Oreochromis niloticus: one gene and its partners. The protein of the gene in region 1 interacts with the protein of each later gene in a pairwise test. Links are inferred from orthologs where the notes say so. Each region holds a gene or a part of one and is shown on either strand. Other genes may lie near its edges.

Evidence for each region.
Region 2: the proteins of kctd1 (region 1) and polr1c interact in binary tests that used the Homo sapiens proteins (3 or more experiments, as listed by UniProt). The two-hybrid records come from large-scale screens. The link is inferred for Oreochromis niloticus from reciprocal best matches to the Homo sapiens genes KCTD1 and POLR1C.
Region 3: the proteins of kctd1 (region 1) and lnx1 interact in binary tests that used the Homo sapiens proteins (3 or more experiments, as listed by UniProt). The link is inferred for Oreochromis niloticus from reciprocal best matches to the Homo sapiens genes KCTD1 and LNX1.
Region 4: the proteins of kctd1 (region 1) and lmo3 interact in binary tests that used the Homo sapiens proteins (3 or more experiments, as listed by UniProt). The two-hybrid records come from large-scale screens. The link is inferred for Oreochromis niloticus from reciprocal best matches to the Homo sapiens genes KCTD1 and LMO3.

Annotation. Positions count from the first base shown.
Region 1 is NC_031982.2:17,124,071-17,131,546, forward strand, and holds the start of kctd1 (BTB/POZ domain-containing protein KCTD1), read right to left. Parts: upstream 3,004-7,476; 5' UTR 2,531-3,003; coding exon 2,294-2,530; intron 1,479-2,293; coding exon 1,300-1,478; intron 635-1,299; coding exon 490-634; intron 1-489. UniProt on the Homo sapiens protein: May repress the transcriptional activity of AP-2 family members, including TFAP2A, TFAP2B and TFAP2C to various extent.
Region 2 is NC_031978.2:30,581,785-30,589,018, reverse strand, and holds the start of polr1c (DNA-directed RNA polymerases I and III subunit RPAC1), read right to left. Parts: upstream 3,002-7,234; 5' UTR 2,446-3,001; coding exon 2,374-2,445; intron 2,085-2,373; coding exon 2,013-2,084; intron 1,992-2,012; exon of another isoform or gene 1,836-1,991; intron 1,407-1,835; coding exon 1,299-1,406; intron 1,129-1,298; coding exon 996-1,128; intron 435-995; coding exon 303-434; intron 199-302; coding exon 46-198; intron 1-45. Other genes in the region: si:dkey-191g9.7 (G protein-regulated inducer of neurite outgrowth 2), read right to left, coding at 6,512-7,234. UniProt on the Homo sapiens protein: DNA-dependent RNA polymerase catalyzes the transcription of DNA into RNA using the four ribonucleoside triphosphates as substrates.
Region 3 is NC_031986.2:37,504,757-37,512,302, forward strand, and holds the start of lnx1 (E3 ubiquitin-protein ligase LNX), read right to left. Parts: upstream 3,023-7,546; 5' UTR 2,724-3,022; intron 1-2,723.
Region 4 is NC_031981.2:699,194-706,300, forward strand, and holds the start of lmo3 (LIM domain only protein 3), read right to left. Parts: upstream 3,023-7,107; 5' UTR 1,998-3,022; intron 1,062-1,997; exon of another isoform or gene 317-1,061; intron 1-316.

The DNA of each region.
Region 1 (7,476 bases):
AGTGGACAGTCCATCTGATAATGTGGTTATTTGTTTTCTCCCAGGGCAAGTTCAGTAATTATTGCTTAAACATTTGAGGGGGGGTGGGGGTTCTTATGTGCCACATACAGTGACAGGCACCTTGGATGGACACTTGGCACAAGAACATAGAGAGCTGCAGAAAAAAAGCATATCGTATGGCCATGGGTGTCAGTATAATTGTTTCAGTACGAGCCTACTGTTTTACTTATGTATTGCAAAAGAATCTTTGCCAGCTCGTAGCTAGAAGGGATCAAACTGCATCTCTTGATGAGGAAATGCTTTGCAATTGGGGTTTGTTTGGTAGAGCCCTGATATTTTCTCTCCAGCATGTGAACCATTTTCAGTAACTCAGGGAGGACCAGTGACCAAAGGCGTTCCACGGCCTTAGCATTCATTGTGTGTGTTAAGTTGTAGGACTGCTGACTGGCTGATGGGAATTTACAGTTTCTAGGATGGGCATCGACTTACTTTGAAGTCGTCGGGGATGAGGAGCTTGGACGTCCTGAGGAAGTTGAGGATGTAGCGGAACATGTGTCCATCCCTGTCAATGAAGTAGTGCTGCTTCAGGCTGTCCAGGACTATAGGCTCTGTGCCATCAAAGAGACGACCAATTCTGCCCGTAAGAGAGAGAGAGGAGGGGTGGTGATTTAGGCAGAAAGGGAGGTAAGGAAGGAAGAAGGAGAACAACATATCAGGATTAAGAATTCTATCCTTTGTTTTTTTTTGTTGTTGTTGTTTTTTTACACTCACAAACAAAAGCTTGTAACAATTTTTAAAGCCTAAACTTGATCTCACTAAATCTATCTTAAAGAAAGAAAGAAAGGTGGTCCGGAGAGGTCAAGACCAGCTGGTGCTTGGTCGCCTGAGGCAGGGAGGCAGTCACCCCCGGGCCTGTGCTCGGAGCGACAGTGTGGCCTCCCAGCCTCCAGATGGCTCCATGCCCTTTGGCTCTTTACTGCTGCTGTGACATCTGTCAGAATAACCAAGTTGCCTTTGTCTGCACTCTGCATTCTGCACTTAAAGCGCTCACAAATTGTTTACCCCTTTAAAATAGCAGAGTTTTACAAAATGTGACATCTGACCATCACGTTACAACAATAACCAATAAACAACAAACTGCGAGGAAATTCTGACAAAAACCATCAGGCTCCAGCAGAAAACATCCCTGGTAAAACACACAATACATGCAAAAATCCTGCCACAAATGGTTATCCCTGACCCTGGATCTTAACCTTCCCCCTCCACTTAAAATACATCTGTATGGCAGGGCAAACTCACCGAGATTCTGGAAATTTTGTTAAGGTGGCCAGACTGCTGGTGTACATGTGCCCACCTACATCGATGTGCACAGGAGCATTGGACTTGGTGAGCTGAGCAGGTGTTGGGATGCCCTGGTTACTCAAGGGAGACACCGGTGACCGTGTGATCATGGGCCTGGACATGCTGGAGCGATTATCCTGAGGGAGCACAAAGGAAATGCATGTAGGAAGACACATTAGATTGCAATCTTCTGCTGCAAATGAAACAGACAATTAAAACAAGTCTGGGGAGGATGGACAAAATTAGTATATTAGGAAAGAAAAAAGAAAGAAAGGCTAATAAGAGACAACAATCTGTGCATTTCTTTAGTCTAATATATTCTGCAGTCAGGAGTGGAGAGGAAGGGTGGGTTTTTTTTCTTGTTACCCTTTTCTGTGCAAGATAGAGCAGCCCGACCTTGACCTGAATGTTGCCACAATCCACAAGCATCCACTCCTGTGGGCCATAATCTCCAAAACCAAATTAATTTGGAGCATCAATCTCAGTCATGAAAATGAGCAATAATGATTCCTGATTTGAATACTATAATAGGATTTGGAGAATAACGTCTCATGATAACCTACAAACACCATTAGGAGACGATTTCTGTTAAGCTCTGAGATGAAAAATGACTTTATACCCGAAAAAGTTTGAGAAGACTGGAGAAAATCTCGAAAGTGTCCTGATCACTAAGGAGTGGGCAGGACATTAGACACATCTTCTTTAAAAAACAAATTAAAAAAAAACGTGAACTCAAGACATACATTTAACAGTAAATTGCACAAGAAGGACTGTCTGACACTATGTGCGCAGTCTACGGTTGAGGGCATCGAGGAGATGATTTGTTTGATTCGGTAAATTAAAAAAAACACAAAACAACCAAAAAACAAAGTGTCCGGCACTTCGCCCCATAAAGTCGAAAGTTAAATCGCTCTCCCCCTCCCCAGACAACACGACACTTTTACGCGTTTACCTGCGCCGGCATCACTGTGGTTGGAGAGGAAGTCACCGAATGGTCATTTTGCTTCAGAGATGCTGCGGGAACGGGCTCTCCTCTGACAGCGAACATCAGCGAGCTCTCCCTGCACTCCGCCGCTCGGATCGGGAGCCGTTTGAGGGAAGCGTGCACGGACTCATCCACGGAACTGATTGGACGCGGTCGCTTTCTCGCCTTCTGATGCGTTAAGTCCATGATATCCGTTTCGTCCATTACGGCTCAGACGTTTAGGGTTAAAGAGATAGGAGAAAGCGGTGAGGCTTTTTTTTTTCACCCTCTCCAACACACCTGCCAAAAATGAAGAGGCGTGAAAAAAAATAGCGAGCACCGGGGGTGAGAGCGAAAGCCGTTGCTGTCACACGGAGCGGCTTCTTTGCAGTGGCTGGGAGAAGTCAAAGCCCCCGACAACATTAGCATTGTAGTGCCCGCGGCTCTTTTGGGCTGTCGCTGTTTCAGTGGCAGGTATGTGTGTCGCATTTTCGCGGAATGAAACAAATCCTGCCTTAGCCTGCAAAATGCGATCGTCTGCTTATAATGCGATTTGGGTTAACACGCCACATCTGGACCTTGAACAGCTGGCCTTTGCCCCCCTTTTCGGAGCAGTGTTTCCACGCGCGACCACTTCCCCCCCACCCTACACGTTGCTGCCCATTGTTCAGCAGCAGTTTTTGTTCAGCCTTCCAACACATCAGTCGAACAAAGTTGAGTCTGTGACAAATCCGAAACAGTGGCCAACCTTCTCAATCACATGGACAAAAAAAGAAAAAAAATACCCCTGCAATAGCCCATTCAAAAAAAAAAAAAACCTTCCCCCACCCATACACACACTTACCAGCCATAAGCACCTGATTGATTGTGAGCTTTCCAGTCACCCAAAAGCAGTCAGGAACATCACTCTTTTATTTTTTAGATGACCAAATGCATTCTGAATATGATGTTTTAACGGAAAAGACTCTTCACTATTTACAGGCTGCAAGATGTTATCAATAACTCAAACGTCCTTGAGGTCAGCAAAGAAACACTGCATGTGAAGTACCAGCTAACACCCCTTCAAGTCAACGGTATGACCCTCAGAGCAGACGCAGACAGCAGCTATAAAACTTCTTCATCTGTTTCTCCCTGGCTCTGTGTCTGACAAGTGTTAGAGCTGCGGTGCGGTGTGGTGTTAACACCACCTCCAGTGACCACATCAGCATTGCAAAGCTACCACACTAATGATATCGTGGAGTATAAAACCAGACCACAACATGTCCAATTGCGGTTAAAAGTACTGCCACAGCACTCTCCTGGGTTGTTTTTTTTTCCCGCAGAAGAAATGTAGGGAATCCACAATTTTTAATAACATTCAGATTAAAATTAATTAGTTCAACCACTGGCCTTAAAACATCCACATTCCTGTTTCTCATTGGCAGTGTGAGTTTCACACCTAGATACCCAATTAGCAATTAAGCTTGCCTTTGAGTGTAGGCCTCCAATGCGGTGTGTGATCCTGGTCTGATTTGCATGCCACTTGTGCACGCGCTGATAAGCGCAGGCAGCAGCCATACATAGTTTTAAAATTCAACTCCAGAATCCCTCGCAGAAGGCAAAGGGGCCTGCGGGGCAAAAGAGAGAGAAATCACATGGCTGCTCTTCAAAAGGGGACCTGTGTAAGGCAGCCGGCAAAGTGCGTGGGATCACACTCAGAATGCAGGTAATTTGTTCCCTGACTAATTTGTGGAGATGGTGGTGTGTGTGTGTGTGTGTGTGAGAGAGCGAGTGAGTGAGAGAAAGTGTGTGCCTGTGGAGAGTAAGTTCTGAAAACAGCTTGGTGGAATTGGATTTCCTCAAAGCCTTGTCATTGCAAAGGTGGATTGAGTGTAAAATCTGTGAGGCATTATGGAAAATTGCAGGGGAGAAAGAAGAGAGAGTGAAAGAGAACGGGTGGTTGGGTGGGTGGGAAGTGGAGGGTTGGGAGCTGGAGGGAGCCAGTTGAGGGAATGAGCTCTCATATCACAAAATCATCCCGAGTTGCTGGAAATACAGACGTGTCGTGAACCTTTCGTCGGACCCGCGTCTACGTCAAATTTGTTGTAGCTCAAAATCGGTTCAAAGGTCACAGCGTCCTCAGAATCCACAAGTACGAATCCTGAGATGTGCCACACGAGCGCTTTTCCTACCTGTTGCCATTTTGAATTTGGCACAGAGGTACAGAAGTCTCCCATGCATGTTAGGATGTTTGCGAAAGAAGTCAAAACGTATGTGTTTAGGGAATCTGTTCGTTTATCCAGCTCGTGTAATTTTGTTGCACCACAGCATGCACAAACAAATCTAAAACAGGCGCAGAGCATCAAAGCCCGGAGCAGTCGAGCTACTCCCTTTTGTTTCTGTTGTTTTTCACCAGTTTTCTTTCAGGCCTTTAATGCAAGACCATCTTTCTTCAAACTTTAAGGAACAAACACCATACAGTAGCTGGGGTTGAATGTTTAAGAAATAGCAGGGTATGTTTTCCACTAATAATTAATCCAAAAACATGGAAAGCAAGGATCTGTCTGCTGTTGTCATAATTGAGGGGCCTTCTGGGGTTCAGCATATGTAACAGACTAACTTTAAGTTGGCCATCCCAGAATGCAACTCTTCACTGTTTCGACATATCTCACAAGATACAATTAGCATTTCAGATCAGAGCATTAACATTCAGTTCAAGGCAGGCAGACTGGTATTTACATAATCTGGATGGGTTGTCTCAGCTTTGTTGCCTGTGGCCATTTGTTTGAAATGTCCATACACAGACAGCTACAAACTCTGGGTTAACATCAGTTGCCGCTAGCTGTATATATAAAATATATATGAAAAAGGTAATGATGAACTGTTATAACAGCATGGTTTGGGTAAAAACTGTAAGCTAGATCAAATACATATCCCACTGGACTTTGTATACTTTGTAAATATAAAGTAACTGCATGCTGCAGCAAAGCTAAAATACTGCATTTCAATAAAACTTTTGTCATTGTCATTATTGTTTTTGCATTCACATCTTTGTCTTTGTCTCCAAACTGACTCCACGTCTTACACTTAACAGTAAAGGGATTATTTGGTATGTTTTGGATGACCTGTGGAAATGTGTTTAGTATGAAAAAGTACTAAGGCATTTAATGAAAGAATGAAGAGGTTGCCCACACAAACACAAACACATCACCACATTTGAACACACTACGCAAACCTGTACTTTAAAGCATCTTGTTGAGTTCATGTGTAGTCACCTTTTCAATTTTTGGCTGTAACATGCATAAAAATAATCATTTCCAGTACAGCACGGTGGTCCGGATAAGCTTTGATTCTCCACACGATCAAGAATTTCATACACAGCTGTTAACTATAAAACAAGCCATAGTAGTGCTTACTTATTTATCAACCAGGAACACACAATTACTCCCTCAGTTTTCTCAGACTTACTTATCTACTTGAAAATGATTCTTTGTGGAGTTACTGGAGCTGTACATCAGCATGACATCACGGATAAGGAAGTGTGATCAGTGCTGTGTTGCCGCAGGCTGTTAGAGACTGTAGTGCATGTTCACTGGCACAGAGCAAACTATCCCAGGGCATAGGAGTGGCAGAGCCACTACAAAAATACAATAACAGCATTTCTCTCCTAGCGTTCCAATCGAGCAAGCAAAGATGAAGTTCAGACCGATCCTGTAGTTTCACTAATGCGATTCTGGCTTGTTTTGTTAAGTGTCTTCTTTCAGCTCAGAGCTCTGTTTGTAAATCTACTGTCACTGTGAAACAGATGAACCGAAGCACTATATACAGTTCTTTTTTTCCCCTTTTCCTTTTTTTTTATTTTATTTTTTAACAGCGCCATCAGGTGATCGGTCTTGACAACCAAACATCTCAGTCCCATTCTTTTTATTCATTCACCCCCTGGAACTCGTGAAACTGGCTAAGGGCTTCATTACAGGTGACCAGAGCTGGATTTGAGTATTCTCCCTGGGGTCCAGTGGTAGATGTTTAGTAATCAAACGCAATGTTTTATTTTATTTTTATTTTTTTTAAAAAAATCTTTATATTTTAGGATGCCACATTCAATACTGTAGAAAGTACACACTTTAAACGGAGTACATGTCTGTTTACAAAGTATAGTCCTACAGGCGAAATAAGTCGATACTGTTACTACTACTGAGTAAGTACATCTGTGCCGATTCGCATCCGGACCTTGGAGTTGATTACGCACGGCGCGGTCTTAAAGCGAGGAGACTAAAGACTAAATTCGCTCCTATTTTCGTCTTTTGCATAAATGTGAATCTCATAACGCGGACATGGCTTGCATTAACGGATGATTCACAGATTCCGCACTGACGTGTGTAAAAAGGTACATCCTGTCATACAGAATAAGAAATACGCCCGCGGCAAAATTACTCCACAATGGCGTCTTTCATTAGAAGATCTAGGGCAGCCAGGAAATGGAAGTGTTTCACGACAAAACTCACTTCGAAAAACCTTTACGAAAACGACAAACGCGGGTTTAAGTAAGTTACGAGCAAGTTGCACAGCAGCAGCAGACACGGAGACGGCGATGTTTTCCGAGCTGAAACGCGCCAGGAGCGAATTCACACGGTGGATAAGTAGAGTCTTTGCTCGACAAGATCACAGTCTGAGCCCGCTGTTCGTTTAGATTGGATGCACCAGAACGTCCTACATTGTAGTCACGCGCATACATTTGTACAGTAAGTAAGGGACAATAGCCAGGAAGTGGTTAAATATTTTTTAAGAACTGTACCGCTCGAATCGCTTGGCACATGCGTAAAAGCTGCTGCGCCTCTATGTCCCAGTCCATCCAACCTCGGGAATAAAATCAAACCAAATAAATCTTCGCTTACCTGAAACATAGAGCGGCATAAAGTATCTTTTTGGGCACCTTTTCCGTCCGATTTGGCCCACGATCTGCCTCTCTTCCTACACCAGTGAGAAATGCAATAGCTTGGCTAAGGTAGACAGAACAAAATACAGAATACTTGCTCCAGGGCTCCGAAACCCCTCAAGGCAAAGATCAGGATACAATTAGCTCATGTCTCTGCCCCAGTCTAAACCAATCTGCAAAATAAAACCGCGAGCAAAGAAAGAGATCACAGCAGCAGTGCCTCAGTCTTTGTTGAGTTTATGTTTTTATAAAATCA
Region 2 (7,234 bases), on another chromosome or scaffold:
ATCTTCAGCACTGCAGCCACTCACCGAGACAGAAATAAAGCTTACCAATGCCTTTGACACAGTGCATGACAATGTCCAGCTCTTGTCCCGGTCGTAGTTGAGCTATCAGAATGTCATCATGCACAGGCCCAATACAGCAGTCTGCAAACACATCTGCCTGGTTCCCAATGGGGACCCACTTTATGTCCTTGGAATAAACTATGAGCAGACAAAAGTGGACAGAGCAGATATCTGCAATTAGACAGGAATACTTTTTTTTACTAAGATATCTGCATCATTTTGTGACACCTAAAAATACCCACCCATGTGGTTCAAGTACAGCTCTCGTGGGTCTGATGAGTCTTTGCTTGCTCTGGGATTCCTGCTGCACTTTATCTTCAGCTGCAGTTGAATTGTGTCTATTTCTGAACCCTCTTCCTCTGCAGACTCCTCCCCTAAAAAAAACAAAGCAGCATTTTACACATGTTGCTTAACATGCTGCACATCATCACTGTTAGATCAAGTGCAGAAAACACTGGAAGCTTTGCAGCTCATGAAATTATAAAAGTGATTATTTAGTTTTTCACCCACAGCACAAACCTGCGGACAGACGACTGACTCCACATTCACGTGGAGTCACATGTTTGTTCCCTACTAAGCACAGCTACAGGACGAGCTGTGTTCTAAAGGGCAAAAAAGTACTAATGCTCATAACGCCTGACGAGGTAACTAGAACATGGCATAAGTAGGAAGCAGGCATGACCTCTCCATCTTTGGGTCGTATCTGTTTCAGATGCTCAGTAAAACTGAGGTCAGGCTCACTGTCAAGTTTCTCGTGTCTTTCTGTAGAGTTTCTGCAGCACAGCAGGGAAACTGTCTTTATTCTTAGAATTATGACTAAGCAAGATGTTATCTAAACTGGCACTTTGTCACATGACAAGAAGATGACACAGAGAGATAAAATGAGCATTGGTGTCAACTGCCTTATGGGTGAGTGGTTCAATATGATGTTTTACCAGTGTTTCTGTACTCAAACAGACGAGGGTCAGCTTTGATGGGGATGAGGCCTAATCTGTGGGCCAGGACTTCATCTTGGACAATGGAGGTATTACTATAGATGAACACCTTTTCCATAGCCATAGTAGGCACCTAAAAAAAACAAAAATAATTAACAGCTTTCAAAATATATTTGTATAAAACGAATAAACTAAATGCCTAAATTCACAAAATGTACACGTTCTTCATGAACGAAAGTCCCTCACATACCGAAAGTTCAAGAGCAGGTCTGAAACCGTAGCAACACAACAAAACAAGCTCACCTCTGCCAGTAAGATCCTTCTGAAAGCATTGGCAATGGCTGCATCAATCCCCACCATGTCAAACTCCATACTGTTTTCATCCAGATGCACGACATCGATTCTGAAGTTCTGCAAAGAAACAGGAGAGTTCCATTTCTATTTACAATCACACACATTTGTTAAAAGCACAAGCGAAGCATTGGTCTTTTATTCAGCACATTAGTCACTCTAGTCTGTACACATCTTTGTCCAAATACATATTCAATACTTTTTACTGGTGGACAGACAAATGTAAGGAAAAGGCTGGTGACTAACGTAACCCTAACAGTTCTGCTGGCCTCGAATCAGGTCAAGAGTGATGCTTAGAGTATTTATGACCATGTGGTGTGTTAAAATCAGTACTTTAGTTAAATCCTTTAAATGAATACTGAACGTCTGCACTTCAGTCACATCTTGATTACTTGATTAAAAATGAAATGTGGTGGTATGCATGGGTGAAATTACAAATCTGTTGCTGTGCAAACATTTATACACATTTTAGACAATTATGGACCAAACCGTCCAGTAAGAAGAGCAGATCCCTGTAAAGACTCCAAATAAGCCGGATCAGCATCCCAATAAAGGCTTGTGCATCATTCCCAATAGCGCACAAAAGTCATGTGAGATTTACAGAAGAAAACTGATGACATTCGTCCTCCCAGCGTTTACAGGCCCACCGCAGTGACAACGTTTTACCTTTTGAAATTTCTCCACGTTCCAAGTGTCGTCATATCCGGGGTAGTTTCCTGGGAAATCCGTAGTATGAACCTAAGAGCAACAGATAAATAGTGGCTAAAAGAAATAAAAGACAACAACAGCACACAGGTCCACAAGTATGATCCGGCAGGTGATACTACAAGTGAATAAGCAACGCAGAAACACATTATACTTTCAGCTCCATGAATGATTGCTGTATATTATAATAGGTGCTCATTAAGTAATATTAATGCAGTCCGTGTCAAACACGCGTATCAGTTAAAGCGTGTCAGTCAGAGCCTCACTACCCCACAGAGGACATACTGTGCCTCTCCAAATCCACGATCACAGCCGCACTTACATTCGTCACACCAAATTCTCCCAATATTACTCGATTCCGAATTTCTTCCACGTTCTTCATGCTGGCTGCCATTTTGCCGAGTGGGCGGGGAGTGTTTGGCTCCGCCCACACCTCCTTTACGGTACAGTTGTGGTTCTCTGCTCTCCATCAGCAGCTGTATGAATCAGGGGGTTTCTCTTATACGCACGCGGAGAAATTTGGCTCAAAATACAGTAGACATGATCAAAATTGCAGCATCGGGTATTTTTCACAGTATGCTCATACTGCACAGTGTTCGTGGACTTTGCGCCAGTAAAAACTGCAGTCTTTCGTCAGTAGCACTCGGAGGCACTGTGTGGTTATCGGTTATCAATAAGCAGCTCTTTGTGGCTGGTATGGTGGTGATAGACGCAAAGGCCAACATCAAGCACTCAGCCTACGAAAAAGAACTCGGTGGGATAAACTGTGCATTGAGTAAAAGTCACTCGTTTAAAATGATCTGGTTTCAAGTTGTGATTTTCGCTAATTTCAGCGTTTTGGGGGGCAGGGGCCGATAGGCGATAACGTTTCTAAAGGGCCCACGAGTGACAGGGGCCTAGCAGAACAGTCAAGTAGTTTCTTTTGTTTTTCAAAAACCTGTCACCGTAAAATAATGTTTGTTTCACAAGGTACTTATAAACAGTGTTGGGGAGTAACGGAATACATGTACCGCCGTTACGTATTTAGAATACAAAATATGAGTAACTGTATTCCGTTACAGTTACCGTTTAAAAAGGTGGTATTCAGAATACAGTTACTTTGTTGAAATAAATGGATTACACGGCGGTACTTCCCTGTTTCATATTCTCGCGGGTCAGGATTGTTTGGGTTTGTTTGACAGCTACGTAATGTTGTTCCAGGCGGCAGCGTTACGGTTGCCATGGTTACAGGGTGACGCGCTCTCTCTCTGCGTGTTTCCTGGGTGAGAGAGCGCTTTTTTGTTGTTGTTGTTGTGCTAAGCTAAAAGGCAGAATGCTACAGGCATGGCCCTAAAGAATGTAGCCTCATGGGCAGTGTAGTCCGTGCTGCAGGGAGAATGGACTGCCATACACGTTATGTGTCTGTGAGCGAGGGAGGGAGAGAAAGGAAAAGTCCGAGCTGTCACGGAGCAAAAACGGGAGCTGGAAGCATGTAAATATAATAATAACCACTGCAGCCAAGAAGAGTGCCTGACGAGCCCATTTGTAAGTAAGCTATTAAGACTCGACTGTACACTGTGTTCGTGTTTTCCTCCGGAAAAAATAAGTTCCGTTGGAGCCTTTCAACTCCTCTCTCTGTCTCTGGCAAGCAAAGTTGACCCAGACAACAAAGTAAAGCTAGTTTTCGGCTACCAGCCCGACACGGAACCCGACGTATTAGCCCGAGGTCCCTTTACTACTGTTCGGAGCCGCGGACCTTCAGTAACAGTAATAAATCACAGCAATAGTACATTCACGTAGTTGTAAACAGCACGATAATATATTAAGTAATCCAAAGTATTCAGAATACGTTACTCTCATTGAGTAACGTAACGGAATACGTTACGGAATACATTTTGGGGCATGTATTCAGTATTCTGTAATGGAATACATTTTAAAAGTAACCTTCCCAACACTGCTTATAAACGTGTTTGTTTCCTAGCATTAGTCTTGTTTTTGGCAACAAAGGATAAAATCCAGCCAGGCTCTGGCCTCGTCTCCCCCATCCTTATTTCATGATTTGGTTTGGTCCAGGTGCACAAGCTCCTAGCTGACGCTGAAGGGGATGGTTGTTTTTGTTAATTTATTCAACATGTGATTGGTGCAGGCAGACACTTTGTAAATAAATATTCTAAAAATCACTTCATCTGACGACCTGCTGCCAGGACAAACAGATCAGACTTGTGGCTCAGCTGTCCGGCTCTCCTTATAGTCCTGATACTGAAACAGCGCCACTGAAATCTGAAGAAGCAGGTGAGCTTTTTGTGTTAAAAAATGTGTCAAATTAATACATTTTAGTTGGCTGTACTGTGTTAAATAATAATATATATACATTGTTTAATTATCATTAACGACATGAAAATGTTAATAAAATGCCTTTCAATCAACCAATCAATGCTCCAGAAAATAGTGTCACTATTTCATGTCTGACAGAGTATTGGGGCGCATTAAGTTTAACAAAAAAATTTGTTCGTTTTCAGATTAAAGTCGAAATTTTGAGATTAAACTTAAAGTACTATTTTGAGAAAAAAGTTGAAATGTGGAGACTGCAGTTGTCATTTTAGGCCAAACAACTGCCACAGCTTCTATACCCTATAGAAAATGCCATGCATAGATGAGTTAGGGAAACAACTTCAACCATCGTTACCCCTGCGTCTGTCCAATGCCAGGTATTTCATTTTGCACACAGTCATGTGTTCCTCCTTCTGACCAGATGCAGTTTTCTGCACAATCTTTTCAAAGCTCTTACAAGGAAATTATTTCCTTCTAACTAAAAAACAATTCTGAAGTACGATCACGAACTCATGTAAACAAAGTGTTTTCTAGAGGGCCTTAATATCCACATTTCAACTTTATTCTCAAAATATTATTTTGAATTTAATCTAGAAATTTTTAACTTATTCTCAAAACGTTCAATAATATTTTTTTTCTTAATGTGGCCCTAATATTCCTTTGTATCCCTCAGACCTCAGTGCTCAAACAGCAGGAAGGCCTGAAGTTTATTAATACCATGTAATGTCTTTATGTTTCCCAAAGAGCATCCATAACAAATAATAAATAATGTAGATTTATAATGCAATGCTTTCTCTGTTAGCAGCAAACATTATTCCAATATTTTTATTGTTCTATAAGCTTTCATATCGGATCCTGAAACAGGACATCTGCTATCTACTTGCACAACTTTATATCAAATTTGCACTGAGTTTGAATTGTGTTTTTATATGTAATCTTTTCTCTTGTGCCATAAACAGCAGAGTCTGTAAATAAAGACATAAAAACTAAAACTGTCAGGAGCAGGTTATGTTTCGGTTTAGTTTGCCTGCGAGTGCTGCGTGTGTTATAGATTCTCTGCTGGGGGAGTTTTATATGTGCAGCTTGTTAATCAGTCACATTTATTTTACTTTGATCTGTGACAAACTGAAGCGATTTCCACATCTCCTTTGTCAGGCTGTGGGACTGTAAGGTTTAATATTTAAATTAATTAAAATCCTTATTGTGTGCACTAAATCACCAGATGAATTAAATTATTTTTCATGGCATTTATCTCATCCTTTTTACAAAAGTGTTGCATTTTATTGGTATATGTTTTTGATCTTCAGAGATGTTTTTAATCACAATTTGATAACATCTCTGAGTATGATGAGTCGTATGATGTGAACCCGCAGGGGAAACCCTGGGTTAACTTGATGAGTTGATAACTTTCACTCACTATGTGTTTTACAGGATTTAATCGTGAGTTGTTATTATTATATTAAGATATGGGGAACTTCAGGCATTTTTCATTTTCATTGTTGTAACACTCTTAATAAAAGGTAGGGACAGATAGGACAACAGCTAAAACTAGAATAGATGAAAACATTTTGACAATTTTAATGACCAATAAAAATGCAGCATTAAAGAGATGAAACATGTTTAAGTTTTAGCAGTTTCCCAGAGAACTGTCATGGAGTCTGTTAACTCCAAAAGAATGAATGTTATTTAGAAGTTGGTCGGAGTACTGTTTGTGCAAAACTGGCAGTGAAAAGAGAATTATGTGTTCACTAAGCTAAAAACCAATTTAATTAACAGTAATAGTGCACAGAAGCATATTATGGACCATTGATGAATGATATCTGCATCTACCGAGAGATAAAAAGAATATGTCCCTGAGTAATATTTCACTAAGAAATGATGGAACAAAGATTTGTTGTTATTTTTGTTTTATTACTTTTTTTTTTTAACATTTTCTTTTTCATAGTGATCTTTAATCATTATCAGTCTTTCATAATCTTTACAATTTTTGAATAAGGATCACTTTATGAAAAGTTTTTCCATTCAATTTGGTACAGAGGTTTGTCTTATAAGAATGCAGTATCATCCAGACATTTGAGGTTGACGCTATGAGCAGCCCTTCTGGCTACTAAGCACAGTGTTCAGGTCCTGTCCATCTGTCAGGTGCTCAGTTAATCAACAGCTGCAGAGCTGCAACTGCAGCAAGCCGGAGATTGGAGGTAGCCCATCATCCTTCTCTTTCTGTGACAGCCAGCATTCCTGACTTCCCGGGAGGGGTTGGGGTTTTGCTGTGAGAGCTTGGCCGCACGGTTTGCTGTCTCCTTGATCTGCAGCTCAAGGTGTTTCTGGATGGCGAGACCCAGCTCCTCAGGGTCCACGGACGCCCCATACACTTCCCATGTCATCCCTTCTGCATCCCACTTCACTTCCTTGACTGGGGACTTAGGCGCACCACCTGCTTTTTTGTCTCTGTCGCTGTCAGTCTGGCTAGAAGACATCTTACTCTTGTTAGCTTCTGCCAGATAGATCTGAGGGAACACATGAGAACCGGTGGTCTGATTTGTCTGCACCCCGATATCTCTCAGAACTTTTTGGGCTGTCATAGTTCCCATGTCACGTGTTGTGATTCTTTCTTGGCCAGTTGTCGTACTGCACCAGTCATCTTTACCTAAGTTTTTTTGGGAGCATTGTGGGCCAGCATCAGGCGGCAGTGAACTAATCCAGGAGCAGCTCAGATTGCAGCAGTGCAGCAGATGTTTGGCATCTAACCCTGTCTCACTAACAGAGGAGAAGAGGCGAGGCAGTGTAAGGTGGTTTCCTGTTGAAGGAGGTGGTACTGGAGGCTGGATACTGGAGCCTGCCAGACGTGGCAGCATCTGCGAGGGGGCTGGAAT
Region 3 (7,546 bases), on another chromosome or scaffold:
CAAGGTCTATTACAACCAGGATTAAATTATTAAACTTAAATTATTGACCAAAGAAGTCAATACATGCACTTTGTCACTTTGTATAAAATATAAAAAGTGTTTAAAATTTCACAAATTGTAATGTCCAGAAGAAATTTATGAAGAGATAAAATGGATATTGAGTAGAAATGAGTTAAACCTATTGATGCAGCCCTTAACAACAGGCCAAGTTTCTCATGTGGCCCCCTGGGAAACTTAATTGCACAAGGGGCCACATGAGAAACAGGTAGCACTAGGAGCTACATGCGACTCCTGCGGATAAGAACATCTCCCAACATACGCAAGATATTCCAGAGAAAGGAAAGACAACGCAACTAATGGGAGGCCCTTCCTTTCTCTGGAAATCCGTTCTGTTCAGTCAAGTCAAATCACAACAGCTGCCTTATGGAACTTTACATTGTAAAGTAAAAATACTACAATAATAGTGAGAAAACCACAACAATCAGACGACCACCTATGATCAAACATGTGGTGCGAGTGGGAAGGAAAAATTACATTTTAACAGAAAGAAATCTCCAGAAGCAACAGGCTCAGGGAGGGGCAGCCATCTGCCGTGACCGGGTGGAGGTGAGGGGATGGAGACAGGACAAAAGAGACACCGTCAATCAAGATATATAATTCCTGTTTGTGCTGTTTGTCATTGTGCTGGGAATTTTTGAACTCTTAAAACAATTTCTCACTGGGATCATTGCATTTCTTCTAACTTACAATCAAAGATTATCTTATGTTTGGTTATTCCAACAGATTGATGATGTCTTCCATTGGGTGTAGTTATTTTTTCTCAAGAATTTTTCAGTGGAGAAGTTGAGCCTGACATCCATAAATAGCATCTATACAACATGGCACAATAGCAGGGATATTCTCAGTGCTGTTACATGTGTCTACATGCAGACATTTCATGCTTCTGCACACCTTTTTTTTTCATGCAGGCATATTCAGTGGACACACCCATGCCTGAGGAGCATTGGCTCACTCTGGATCATTCCTAATCTCTGAAGTGATAAGTTCACTTTGTCACAACAGTCCTGTGGGACTGCTGCTCTTTCCTCACAACAAAATCATTCACGACAGCTAATTGACTGAACCTTGACTACATATTGTTGACGTTTAATTATTGACTACACCGGCCATCTAGTATCCAAAGAGAATGAGAAAGGTGGGGCTGTCAGGCTCAAGGCTTTCAGTTTGGACTACAAAGTAAAAAAAAATGTTTACATGGTAAATACAACACTCAGGGTAGTCTTTATTTTCATCTTTGAACTATAGTTATGCCAGTTGTTGGTTGTCGAGGCCTTATGCAACTGAGTGCAAAGAGTGCTGTTTATTTAACATAGCCTGTGCCTTCTTTCATACAGATTGCACATTTTCTTTAACTACCATTGTTTATTCACTGTCAGGTTTCTCTCCTGTGATCTAAAAGGACTTGATGAATTAATAAAGAGACAAGGCCATGCCAAGGCAGCTTCTTTTCTTAACAAATGATTGTGAAGAATAAGCCATTAATAAGGTACTTTCTGTATCAACATTCTCATTGTCCACACTGAGCTAGCTTGTTGCTATGTACAAATCCACTCCTCATTTTTAGTCACAGACATCAAACCATATTTGTATCGACCAAACAAAACACACCCTCAGAGTAAAAGTCAAAGCCTGAGAAATCAGACAAAGTATGAGTGTCTGCAACGCAAGGTTTAGTTCATGCTGCAACATAATGATCTGTCTGTCAAATCAAAGCACCGTGTTACTGTAATTGACAAGGAAGACACCTGTTACAGGTGTAGTTTCAAGACCGTGAAGATAATAAACTGATCTGTGACTCGTGTTAGGGGAAAACTCACTCAGAGAGTGGAAACAATAAGTTGCTCATCAACAAATGGGTTAGTCATCATATCATAAAAATATTTAAATAGTACCAGATAACCTGCTGACAGGTCAACAATCAAGGACTCTAAGCGTAACATAGCACAAGGCAGGCTGGACTCAGGCACAAAAGTTATGTGTTGTAGAGCATAGACCAAACATAGGCAGTTGTGTTCAGACATGTCCATGAAACAGAAAAATTCCAACAAGCCATTTTTTCTCTTCATGCAAACATCTGTTTTGCAATCACACACCGATAAACAATGGAAAAAAACAGCAACAATCAGCCAGCTATCTATCAAGTATTTAACTGCACACCAAATGTAACACAGCATAATATTTTTGATGTCTTCAGCACATTTTGTTCCTTTTAGAATAAACACGGGATGTGCAAATCAAATATTAGTATAATTTCTGCCCTTTTACTAATCTCTGCATTAGGCTCGTGTGTATGTTTGTCTATCCTGGCCTGTCTCTGAGTTCATAGCAATCTGAACATTGAGTCTGAGCCAGACCTGACACCTCAATCTGGGAAAACAGCTGAAGCCAGATGTGAAACCCCATGAAGCGTCACTTGTATCTGAATGGCTGAGTGGGTCAGAACAGACTGTACTTAACACCGGCGCACATAGAGAGAATAGAGAAAATCGACATACGCTACACTCGCATGTAAACTCAAACATACAAATTTAATGCAAATTTTTCCATGCAAACACTGGAGCAGCAATAACTGCTGGCACGATGTTCTGTGTATTTTAGTGAAGCAGTTAAGATAAATAACAGACACGCTTCGAATAAAATGTAAAATAGGAAACTATACTTACATGGCTTCATAAACAACATTCACTTTCGGCAGTGCAGTTCACCTGAACAGGTAAAGCCTGGCAGGCAGTGTAACTTTAAACCATTCAGAGAGGAGGTGGAGGGGAAGGACAGGAGAGTTAAATGACTCCGTAAAGAGGACTTTGTCCAACTCAAGCAAACCGGAGACCGACTGACAGTCTTCAAGTAGAAAGAGAGAAATTTTATCCTGCTGCTGGACTTTATAAAATATGGAATGAGTCCAAAGCGGAGAGGATTTCTCCTGTGTGAGCCCAGAACCTGCTCACCTCTAAACAGGCAAAGGTGATCAGGAAGTGGGCAGAGAATAGAGGCGTGGTTAGAGAAAAGGTAAATAAGAGAACTGCCCAAACCTGTATTGGGAGTTCAGCAGAAGCTGGATTTTCTTCTAAAACAGTGTGGGCAGAGGAACCGAAACCTTGAACTTTTGTTAAAGGCAACTGAAACATTTCAAAAGTGACTAGTGCTAACAACAAAAATATTTTTAATTAACTAAAATGTCATGCAAAATGCCACCAGTGCCTTAAACTACAAGTTCAGACAGGACCTTTCTATAACATGGCAAAGATTTAATAACCCACTAAGCATTTTAAACACCTACATGATTGATTTTCTGCAGACCACTTACTGAAACAGAAACACTGTGCTCTGTAGTTTAGCAGAAAGCCCATAATCTGAGTAAATGACAACATGTCTCAGGTTTTTATAATGTTGCCAGGTACTGTAGAGTAAGCATTTAAACCTTTCTACAAGACAGAAATTGGAATATTTGCTAGCTGTATATGACTTTCTTTCTTATAATTATCTAAGCTTTCCTTTAGAAAAGCTGCTTTTAAATCCACGCGTGTGATTCCAGCTTTGCGCAAAACAGTTGTTATCCTTTGTGTTTTCACGTGTGGCTTCCTTCTTTGCTTTTCCTACCTCAGGCTGCTCTTTAAACACAGATACTGTGAGCCACAGGTGCTCCAGACTCACTGCAGACATGAAGTGACAATTCTTTATGAGTCACTCAGTGACGCAGGCAGAGCTGAATCATTTACCTTGTTTATTAAGAATATTCTCAAACAGTACTCGCTTGTAACATATTATTATGCAGTACCTGTCAGGGTTTTTTTTCCCCTCATCTGAAGCTTATTTTGAGTGCATGAAGGGAACAAACAGATGGGTTACTTAAAAGAAAATAAATGACTGAAGTGTAGCAAAACAGTTGCAGTTGGGTCAACCAACCAGGAGTAAATCTATTTAACGATTTTAAGATTGTGATAAGTAAAGTTCAATCTTTTCTCATGTTCACAATATCAGCAGCATTTGTTTAGTCCATTTTTACCTCCAAGTGCAATTTATTTCAGTTGCAGTTCACATGGAGCTCACAATCCTGCAAATGTGTTGTTGTTGTTGTTGTTGACATGAACTTAAATGTTCTTGGATTTGGAGATATAAATTTGCCACTCTTATATTTTCACAATCACTGTAAAATTAGAGGATGAGTAATAGTTTCTGAACTAAATGAGTGCAGTCTTCTCTTCTCTTCTCTTCTCTTCTCAGCAGGACTCCAGCAAACAGTATGATATGGCAGGATGTACTAAGAGTCAGGAATGCTCATGAAATTCGCCTTATGCTAAATTATACAGTGTGTATTGCTGCAGTGAATCAAAGATTTTAAGTTTCTTGAACTCTTAAGTTCTCTTTGAAGTGCTGAGTTGAACCTGCATCCTGTTTCATTTCTGCTGATTCCTCAGCTCCCTGCTGCTGGAGCTTATCTAAACACTGTAGTGCAGGTGAAACCAATCTCCACCTTCTTCCTAGCAAACTTCCCTGCCTTTCTCTTATTTCTCCATCTCTCAGAAACACACACACCAAACAGTTTTACTGTTTTCTCCATTTCTTCACAGCTTAACTGTTTCACATTCCTCTGACATATTTCCTCTAAGTACCGTGCAATGATTTGAATTCAGATGGCAGATGCGAATGGAGAAAAAAAAACAACACACAAAAAAAAACTTGGGTGACAAAAAGACAGGGACTATTTCTCTTTTAACTCAGTATTTGAAACAGCCTTTATTAAGTTCTTTTTTTATCCAGTCTCGTGTGGCAGTGAAAGGTCGGTCGTCTCTCTTTTCTTTCCACAGAGCATCCATATTTCATGGTATCAATGCAAATGCCTTGCCTACCATGAATATTGAACACGGGAAAGAACAGAATGAAAGTAATCAAATAGATGCAACTGAGCCAGCTCCAACATCACCAAGGAGATGGCATCCTTCTTGTCTTTCTATTGTGGTTATTCAACGCAGACGTTGTAGGAGTGCAGGTGTGAGTCAATGGCGTTGCAAGGATTTTGGTGTCATGAGCATACTACTGGGTATCAAGCCAAGAAAAAAGAGCCTGTGTGGCTTTTTAAGGTCATGCTTTTTGCCTGTTCCAAAAAAACAAACACTTAACATTTACACTAAAGCACCAACTCAATATATTTTAAGTTTATATTTATATTACAATAAAGATGTTACCTTTAGATATTACTGCAATTGGTATCTTCTGTTATTCTGTGGCCAAAATACCATTTTTGTTGTAGCAATATGAGACATGCAGGCTTTGGCTGGACAAAATAGGGGGAAGAACTGCAAACCTCTCAAGAAAAACAAATCAAAGTTCAAGTCAACTTCACTGTCAGTTCTGCAATATGCACAGGGCATACACAGGATCGAAACGAGCAACGATGTGCAATTAAAATAAATATAAAAGATGTAGATATAATAAATAAAAAAGGTAGAGAGCTATGAGATTATAATATGCAGTTATGAAAGAAAAATGGTATCTAGTATAAATATAAACCGTACAAGATATATTAAAACCCATCTGCTGTTACTACTATATATAAAAACACGAGGGACATTTTTAATACAAAGTTTTAAGCACAAATAAAATTCAAAATCAGAAGTCAAATCAAAGTCCAACTAAAATCTCAGTGACATCCCTGTAGCTACTGCAAAAACAAGGTGAAGTCATGTGAAATGGATTTACACTTCCCGGTGAAACTGCAGGACGACTTCCCAGCTGCATTCACGAATACAGATTTGTTTACGGGTGTGGTCAGGTTGTGAATTGTGATTTGGCAAGTAAGCGAAACCTCAGATCTGGTACAGCAGGAAAAAATGACTCACCAAACCTCCCAAATATACTGTGAGCTCCACTAAACTTCTTTGGGAATGTCCTATGTGATAAGCTAACCAGGGATCATTTGTTAGCTGCATTTGCTAGTATATAAATATAAAATGGCAAATGATACTACAGCTCATTATTAGCCCAAATTCTTATGGCTGGGACTCCTGACATAGTAGTGAGCTTCTATTACAGCTTGACTTGCATTATGTTAATTTGTTCCATTGCTGTAAATGTGCCACAATACTTAATAAAAAATGCTAAAGTAGCATTTCCATGTTATGGAATTTCCCTCTAATTAGATTAATTAGAGACTTTATTACTCATCACGAGTTCAAACTTCCTTTGTTTGTGTCATATGGTGTTGCTATTTTTAGGTTTAGTTCCTTAGACATGTTTACCTTAATTGGCTTTGTAACACTGAGAGGAATGAATACTTTTAGATGCTATACTCCCTCAGGGCTTTAGGCAACAAAAGCTGTAGGCTATATTTAGAAAAAGTTCATGATTTGGGTTGAAAAATTAATCCTTTCAAATCATTAAGCACACCTTACAAAGCTAGTCTGGCAGAGAGTGTCATAGAAAAATTTGTGTTTGTCGTGTTCTTTAACGAAAAACACTTGCAGCGATGCAGGCACGCACACACATTCAAATGTTGCAGAAAAAAAGGAAAGTGTCACTGTTCATGCAATTCCAATTTGCCATCTACCTGATGGTTTACCCTCAGACTGCTTCTGTGCCCGCTGTTTTGCTCTCTTCTGTATGTCTACTCATTTTATTCAGTCTCAGAAAAATAGTGCTGCCATTGTGTTTTTCACTCATGAATTCATTTTCTGAGGCAAATGCTTTCAATTTCACCACGTAATCTTCAACCACCTAATTCAAGGTGGCATCTGAAATACGCAAGTGTTCCTGTCTGATATTGTTTCTCTCATCTTTCACTCACAGCGGTATTAGGTTGTGACTTTTCACTGCTCCTGTACTCAAACATACCTACAAACAAATGCCCGTTAACATATACTTGTTTTAACATGTCACACATCAGAGAGGAGTCTGTTATAGTCGCTGCCTTGACACTGCTGGTTCCCTGCCACCTTTCTAAATCCCACCCACCTCTGGCACACTTCAGTCTTGAGCTGAGAAATCTGAAAGGATGGGTTTTGGAGCGTTTTCATCTAAGTGTTTCACTTCTCTTTTATTACTGCTACACTCGTTTGCACAAAAAGGCACGCTGATAAAGTAGGGCAGTCGATTTTAATTTTCCCAACCCTGATGATATAATATGGGGAAATAATGACGTATTCAATAAGTCATTCGTTTTGTGTCAAAAGAGGCTCGTTTTTACACAGGAAAAGGAAACTTGCACAACTGCGGTTGCAGATCATGCATGTGTATGTGTGCATTTCTGACAGCTGCTCTATAAAAAGTGATCGCTGATGTGAATATCATCATTCAAGTGCAAAGGACAGATACTGCAGATTGTTATGCTATTTGTCAAATGTCACAGTAAGAGTCAGCCAGGCATTTGTACATGTGGGACAGTCAGGGAGGGTGCTAAGCAGAATACAGAATCAGAACACAAGGAAAGAGAGAGAGAGGAGAAAGAAAATGAGATATGAAATGAGCGGTATGTCTGCTTCAGTTTTCA
Region 4 (7,107 bases), on another chromosome or scaffold:
GCGTTTGCTCCCGTCGGGCGTCGCACAGTGTGTGAGAGCACGTTTATCGGTGCGCAGAGAGAGGCAGGCAGCGAATGACAGAACGACAAAGAGATGCTTCCCCTCCACGACACTGGCAACCTCATCACAGCGGCTCCTGCTGCATGCTGCTTGGCTCATCAGCAGGCAGAGCAGAGGTTACGCACAGCGGCTCACTCACCGAGCAGTAAGCGCGCTCTTCCCAAACTCTTACACGTATGAAGCCTTGTTTTCATGCAACTCGACACTATTTCTGTCACCTTTGTTTTCAGTAAGGCTCATTTTTCTGATCACTCACCTCTCTCAGCAAGTTTAAACCGAAGCCTAAACTAAAGCAGAGATTTCAAGCAACTACAGATTGCCTCTGCAGAGCAACTGGCAGCGCTGGTCGCCACATTGACCTGGAGCTTGGAAACAAAGACTTCCAAGAGCGACTGCTTGGTGTGTCAGCAGCTAGCTACAGGTGGAAGCTGCAGGGAGTGCTCGGGTCTGTCAGAGAATGAAGTTTCTCTTATTATTGTCCCACCTCCAGTCTTCTCAGCAGTGACACGATATGATCATTCAGTTATTAGCAGCTGTTTGGCTAAAGGATGCCTCCCGTACACGCCCACTTTCTTTGATTTTGGAGCCACGGGTGCGTGTAGATGGTTCCTGGGGCCTACATTATAGACACAGAAGCAAATGCAATAGTCCACGTGTAGGTAGAGCAGTTTACTTCTAACACTGATACTAATATTGAGATGAGCAGCTCTCAGAGAGTCACAGATGTAACTCCTTGCATTGTTTATTTCAGGTATTTGGCCAGAGTCGTGGTTTGTCCTACAGTGTTACATCTGCACAGGGTTCTAATTATTAACATTTAAAAAGATCAGTCCGAGCTTAAGCCAAAAAAAAGAAAGAAAAAGAAAGTACTGTCTACTGCTTGCACTTTTGTTTGGTAAAAGACTAGTGTGAGAAAATGCAAACATCCCAGTGCATATAATGGCTCTGTGATGACACCAGCCTGTGCCAGTTCTTTCTTTAATGGCAAAGGGAGGTCTCCAGCTGGGTTAACATCAACAACTCGGATTATCATCTCTCCATAGTTGCTTTTAATCATTCTTGTATTAAAGGAAAAATACATTCACCAGGTTTTCGCGTCAAGTCGTGCATCAATTAGCGACCTAGTTTAGATGAGACGAGGCAGCGAGGAGGCCCGAGTGTCACGGTATGGTTACCCCAAACCTTCCTCCCCACCGCACCACTGCTCCCTATCACACACACAGATACATCGTATAAATATGATGATAGACAAATGAAAGTGTGGAAGGCACAGAAGGAGGAGACACAAGTCAATAGTTGGCATGTGACTCCAGCCAAAAATGCAGCAATAATGAGTTGGGTCATAAAATGCTCTCCGCGCCATTATGAGTGATGAGATGCATTAAAGCTGACAGGGTATTACCTGCCAGTAATTAGGTTTTGTCATGGATTGAATTATTTCAAGGAGGCCTATCTCGGTAATCATGCAATCTGCTGCAGTGTGTGTGCAGTGTGTGTGAGGCTTCCACCCCTCTCCTGGTGCCCTTCCACCCTCCTTTCACTTGCTGTGTTCAGCCAATTATTCATTCTCCGTATGAATATAAGATGAAGACAGAAAGCAGGAGTGTATGTGGAGAGCGGGGGAGCGGCGAGCATCGCGCGGCTAGCCCGGTCTTCTCATGCACCATACAGTACTCCTGCCAAACGCAAAACCGGAGAGAGGGGACTTCTGTTATATGCTATGACCCCAACCATCAGCCTGTAATGAAGACGAACGTGCACCAAAACCAGACACGCTCTGAACAGCCTTGCATAAATGACATTTCAGGAGGAAGCAAATCTGCTACATTTCCATCCGATCTCTTCCCTGGGAGCTCAACCAGCACTTTACACGCAGCCCTCGCTGTGGCTAAGCTTTAACTTAGAACCAAGAAAAGCAGAGCACTTATAACACATACCTTGAAGGAGCTACAGCCAGGGACGCCCAAAACAAATACTGCCGTGGTTCGTGTCTTCTGTGTTCTCTTGACTTTGAATGAAAATCTCCAGAAGGTAACTTTCTGAGAGCTCGGCCAGCTCCCGCTTTTCTAAAGAAAACTTTGCCGCCAAAGTTTTATGGTTTGATAACTGTTAATAGTTGAGCTTTGACCCTAAACTCTGCTCCCCTTGCTGCTCTGTGACTCCTGCAGCTCTCTCACAGAGCATCCCTTTCCCCCTTCTCCTTCCCTGCTTGTGTCTCTCTGTTTCTCTGACAGGGAAAAGCAGCGCACAGTCGAGCCTCCTCTCCTATTTAAGCCCCTCCACAAGGTCCCCAGTCGGCAGCACACTCCAGCTCATCCAAGAAGCTGACAAGCACCGTTAGGGAAGGCAGCGCATGTTGCTCTAATGGACCTCATTAAGCTCTACTTACAGATGTTCTCTTAACATAATTGATCTGCAGCGAGTTGAGAGGACGGCAACCTATTCCCCAGCCCCCAATTATGGCCCGGTAATTAGATCCCCAACCTCCAGTTCTCCACATTCACCCTTCTAACATTCCGAAATATCAAAGTATCTCTTTCTCTCAAAGCGACCACCCCTCCCTACACCACCTCACCTCCGTGTCTCCTCCCTCCTCCCCACAAGACACTATTGACAGTCAGATCTGCTAACCTTTGTAGTGTAGCCAGATTAGCAGTGAACTCACTGCTATTGACAGCGCTCACTCAGTTTTCTATTCCTCCTTTCTCTCTCCTTGCCTTTTCATCCCCGTTGGGAGACAGACAGAGAGAAAGTGAGTGGCACAGATGGAGAAAAGGGAGAGCGAGCGAGGGGGAAAACTGAGTCGACATACGCCATAAAACATCCTAATGGTAATATTTGTCTTCATCTCTTACCTCAAATAATTCCTCTGATGCCAACTTTGAATAGAAAAGGCGTTGGGTGGAGATGCCAGGAGCTACAGAGTAGTGATAATGTAGCTTAATAGTACCAGTCAGTGTCACTCCTGTAGCCCTTTTCATTAGCCCGAATGCTGAAACAGAAAGCGTCGAGTAGAGGGTAATGTCCTACTTTTGCATGACATAAAAAACTCTTTATGATGAAAACTAATAAAGTATTGGGGAAATAATAACGATGTGGGAAATATTGTTCCCAGATCTTTAAGTTTTCACAAATGTAACAAAATTGTTTTTGATGATGTCAGGAAATGGGACACATACTGTTGCCATGTGAGAATGTTTTCATAACAGGAGATATCAACATGGTATGCACCCGCAGGCCTCACAGGACAAGTTAAAGCCCGGTGGCTAACTGGCAGTGTTTGTTTGTTTGTCCTGATCATCTGGTTCAGGAACATCGAGCCCACTTTGGTCCTAACTGAGCAAACCCCTCAATCCCTGATCTCAACGTAAGCTGAAGAAGTGCAGTTTCAAACACATGTATCAATTTTTCTACATGATAAATGTGTCAAAATACAGAAAAACGTTGTTGTTTATTGTTTTATAAATATGGAAAAAAATTGTTGATTGATGAAATTTAAAAACTAACATTTCTATAGTAGACAGTGAAAAACAGAACCTTTCCTTTAATTCTTTATCTATTAATTATAAAGAATTAATGTAACGACTGTGTAATATGTAATGGCTGTGGAGGAGCTCTGTATCAGCAGGAAAAGCTGTTAAAACTTATAAACAAAACCAGTTAAAAGCCCAAAATTACATGCCTGCCTTCATATTTTTCAAAGCCATGCAGGGGCCATATTGGAATCTTTGCTGGCCGATTCTGGGGCCAGAAGTCGTGAAAATTTGGTAACAAGCCGCGTGCATGTGGAAATAACCTGACACACAGTACATGTTATTAGTCTATGTTAGTGACCTTCAGTGTTCATGTTAGAGACATGTTCCATTATAGAGACAGACAGACAGACAGACACACACACACACACACACACACACACACACACACACACACACACAGTAGGCGTTTGTTTCTAACTGTCCTGTAAGTAGAAATATTCTGAACACGCTACATGTGGACAGATTTGCAAATATAAAATGAATTTCAATTTTACAATAAAACAAACATCTGATAAAAAAAACTTCTCATCCCAATATTTTTGTACATTACTGGTTTTTCTTTTGATATTCAAATATTAAACCAAAAATATTTGTTTATTGCTGTGTAAACTTGTTTAAGCAAGTCATTAGAAAAACGTATTAATATAAGAAATTTTGCTTGCTGATCTAAATTAAGACTAAACATTACAGGAAGCAGAGATCAAAACCAGGTAAAACCCAAAGTTATATTAGAGTCATGTAAAGCAGATTCAGACCAGCTGATTATTCAGACCCAGAATCAGCTGACTGATTTCTTTCTTTCCACCTTATTATGAGACTGAAGGACAATTTATAATTCTTTTTGTTATCTGTTTGAATGTTTTTTTTTCTTATGCAAAAATAAAGATTATGTGAATTATAGAAATGTGGATGCAATAGTAATGCACTTGTGCATAACCCTCCAAAAAGCCAACACCCCCAGAGGCTGGAATCCAAAGTGGGACTGAATCAGGTGGTGAGTGTTGCAAGTCAGTTCACTGGAAACCAGAACAACTAACACTGCAGTGGCTGGGCAAAACTGGCAGAGATTCTCAGGCACAGTTGGAGGTAAATATACAGCTGATGATCACAATGTATGCAAAGAGCCAGCTGGAGGTCTGGCTCCACCCAGGGCGCAGTTACCCGCCCCACTCAGGGCATGGTTACTTGCGTCACCTGGGCGTGGTTACTTGCCCCACCTGCAGCAGAAGACAGAAAAACAAGCATGCCCAGAGCCTGACAATATTTCAGTAATCTGTGCTTATTTATTTATTTATTTAAGATTCTGATGTTTAATTATTGCAGATATGGATGTTTCCAGTAGCCCATGTCTTGTATCTCAAATATTACACCAGAAATAATTTGTTTGTTCTTGTTCAACCAAGTTATTAGACATTTGTGTATGTAGCTTGTGTATGAACAAACTGTCTGGTCATGTGAATGTGCATTATTTGACTATATGAATAATAATAGCAATAATAATTAGTATTATTCTTAACAATAGGAATAGAAATAATGATAAAAGAGTGGGTCTATGTGGGAACTGGGAAGAATGATCACCCTAGATGCTGGGGATGGCACAGGGGAACCCTCATTGGTCGTACTGTGTTATTTCAAACAGGGGGAGGTGTCATTATTGGTCAGGTGAATAGTGAACAGAATGGATGATCATGGTGTTGTAAAAGTCCAGACCTTGGCTTGACTGAAACGCTGTGATGGGACTTTAAAAGAGCTCTGCATAAACACAAGCCTGCAAACGTCAGTGATCTGAAGCAATGTTGGAAAGTTTCTGTATAAAAGGCCCCAAAGTTCACAGAATAGTTTTATTGGTGTTTATAAGTTTATATAAGTTCATTTAATTTTCAACCCTCTCCAATTTGGGCCAGCCCACCGTCTAGTGACATCATCCGGTTAGTAAGGTGGGCAGTTTAATGTCGGATGAGCAGTGTTGGTCCGGAGGGGGTGCACTGATTCCTGGGGAATGTTATGTGTGCGTAAATGACAAGTAAGTATTGACCTGTGTTGTATTTTGCCTTTGCTTGTGTCAGTACTGTAGTATGTTACCATTTAGGAGCTAATGTAGTCCATAGTTGGAGCGGTAGGCCACGCATGCAACGCGTGAGTTCACCCTCATTTCATATGCTAATTTATGTTGTTAGCTTACCCCGGTTTAGCTTTGTTGACGCATGCACGGTCGCTCGTATGTCCATAATGTCATTCCTGTGGTATCAGACCTTCTCTGTATGTTGTATGTGATGCTTGTGATTGTTTACTTTAAAGTAGCGGAGTCTGTAGCGAACAATTAGGTACAAGGATTAATAAAATAGCGATCGTAGTTTGACCGGAAGGATCGCGTTCCCGCTTGCCCTTCACAACAAGAGCATTACGGCTGATTATAATAGGGAAGCTTTTATTTTGTACAACTACCGGAAGTAGTTCCTATGTCCCCACGGTAACTTAACCTCGCACTAATGCTGTTTAGTTGCATAGTGTGAGCAGTTTGAAGTGTACTATATTTTTTCTGATCTTTATATTTGATTATGTTAACTATATTGTATTATGTCTGTATTTGAGTGTTTTACTTGTCTATTCTCTTTATTTATCGTTATTTCCCTTGTTTATTTCCTTTGTAGAAAACCACACACACACACACACACACACACACACCTATGTACACCCGCTGTGTTTACAGCCCCAGAAATTGAGTGGTGACAATAAAGTGCCTCAAACAGAACCTCAAGCTCCCTTCTTCTTTCCTACTCTGGGACAATTTGGCCTTAAGTGGTGTTCTGGCCGACACACCGGAGTGACCGTAGTGCTCAAAGACTGAATCAGTGCCACAGCCGTGCCCATCTTTGATATCTCCACTACAGTTTCACTTTCAGTTTTTCACACATTGCATAAATAAATTATGACATGGTGTAACTGTCCTGTGTTGTTATTATGAGCAAAACTACGTGCACATCAGCATCACGTAAAGCACTAGAGATGTTTAACTGGCATGTTCGTTGTAGTTAGTATTTATATAAAACTGAACTGTGGTCTTTATTTTTCAGTATGTATCCTTGTTGCCCTTGAAAATGAAATTTCTGGCATGATTAGTTTGTAAAAGACTCAAACAGGAACTAAAAATAAATGTGTTTATCACAGGCATGACTGGTGTCACAGTACAGGATGAGCTGTTACAAGCCAACAGTATACACACGTCCTGTAAACTTGCAACTCTTATTTCATTTTTTCATCTTTACTTCAAAGGCTAGTTGTTGCTAAAAGTTATTTGATTTGAATTCATTTATTAAAGCAGTCTTCAGCTGTATTGTTTAAATGGAGTGTTGGAGACATTACTCAAAAACATAATGTATTACATATTACTTATTATTTTTCTTAAAAATAAAGGAGTATGTTTGGTAATTTTTCACACTACTTGTTACATTACTTTTTACTCTGTAAAATGCACTGATAAATACCAGTTAACAATAAAACTTTAGGCTAC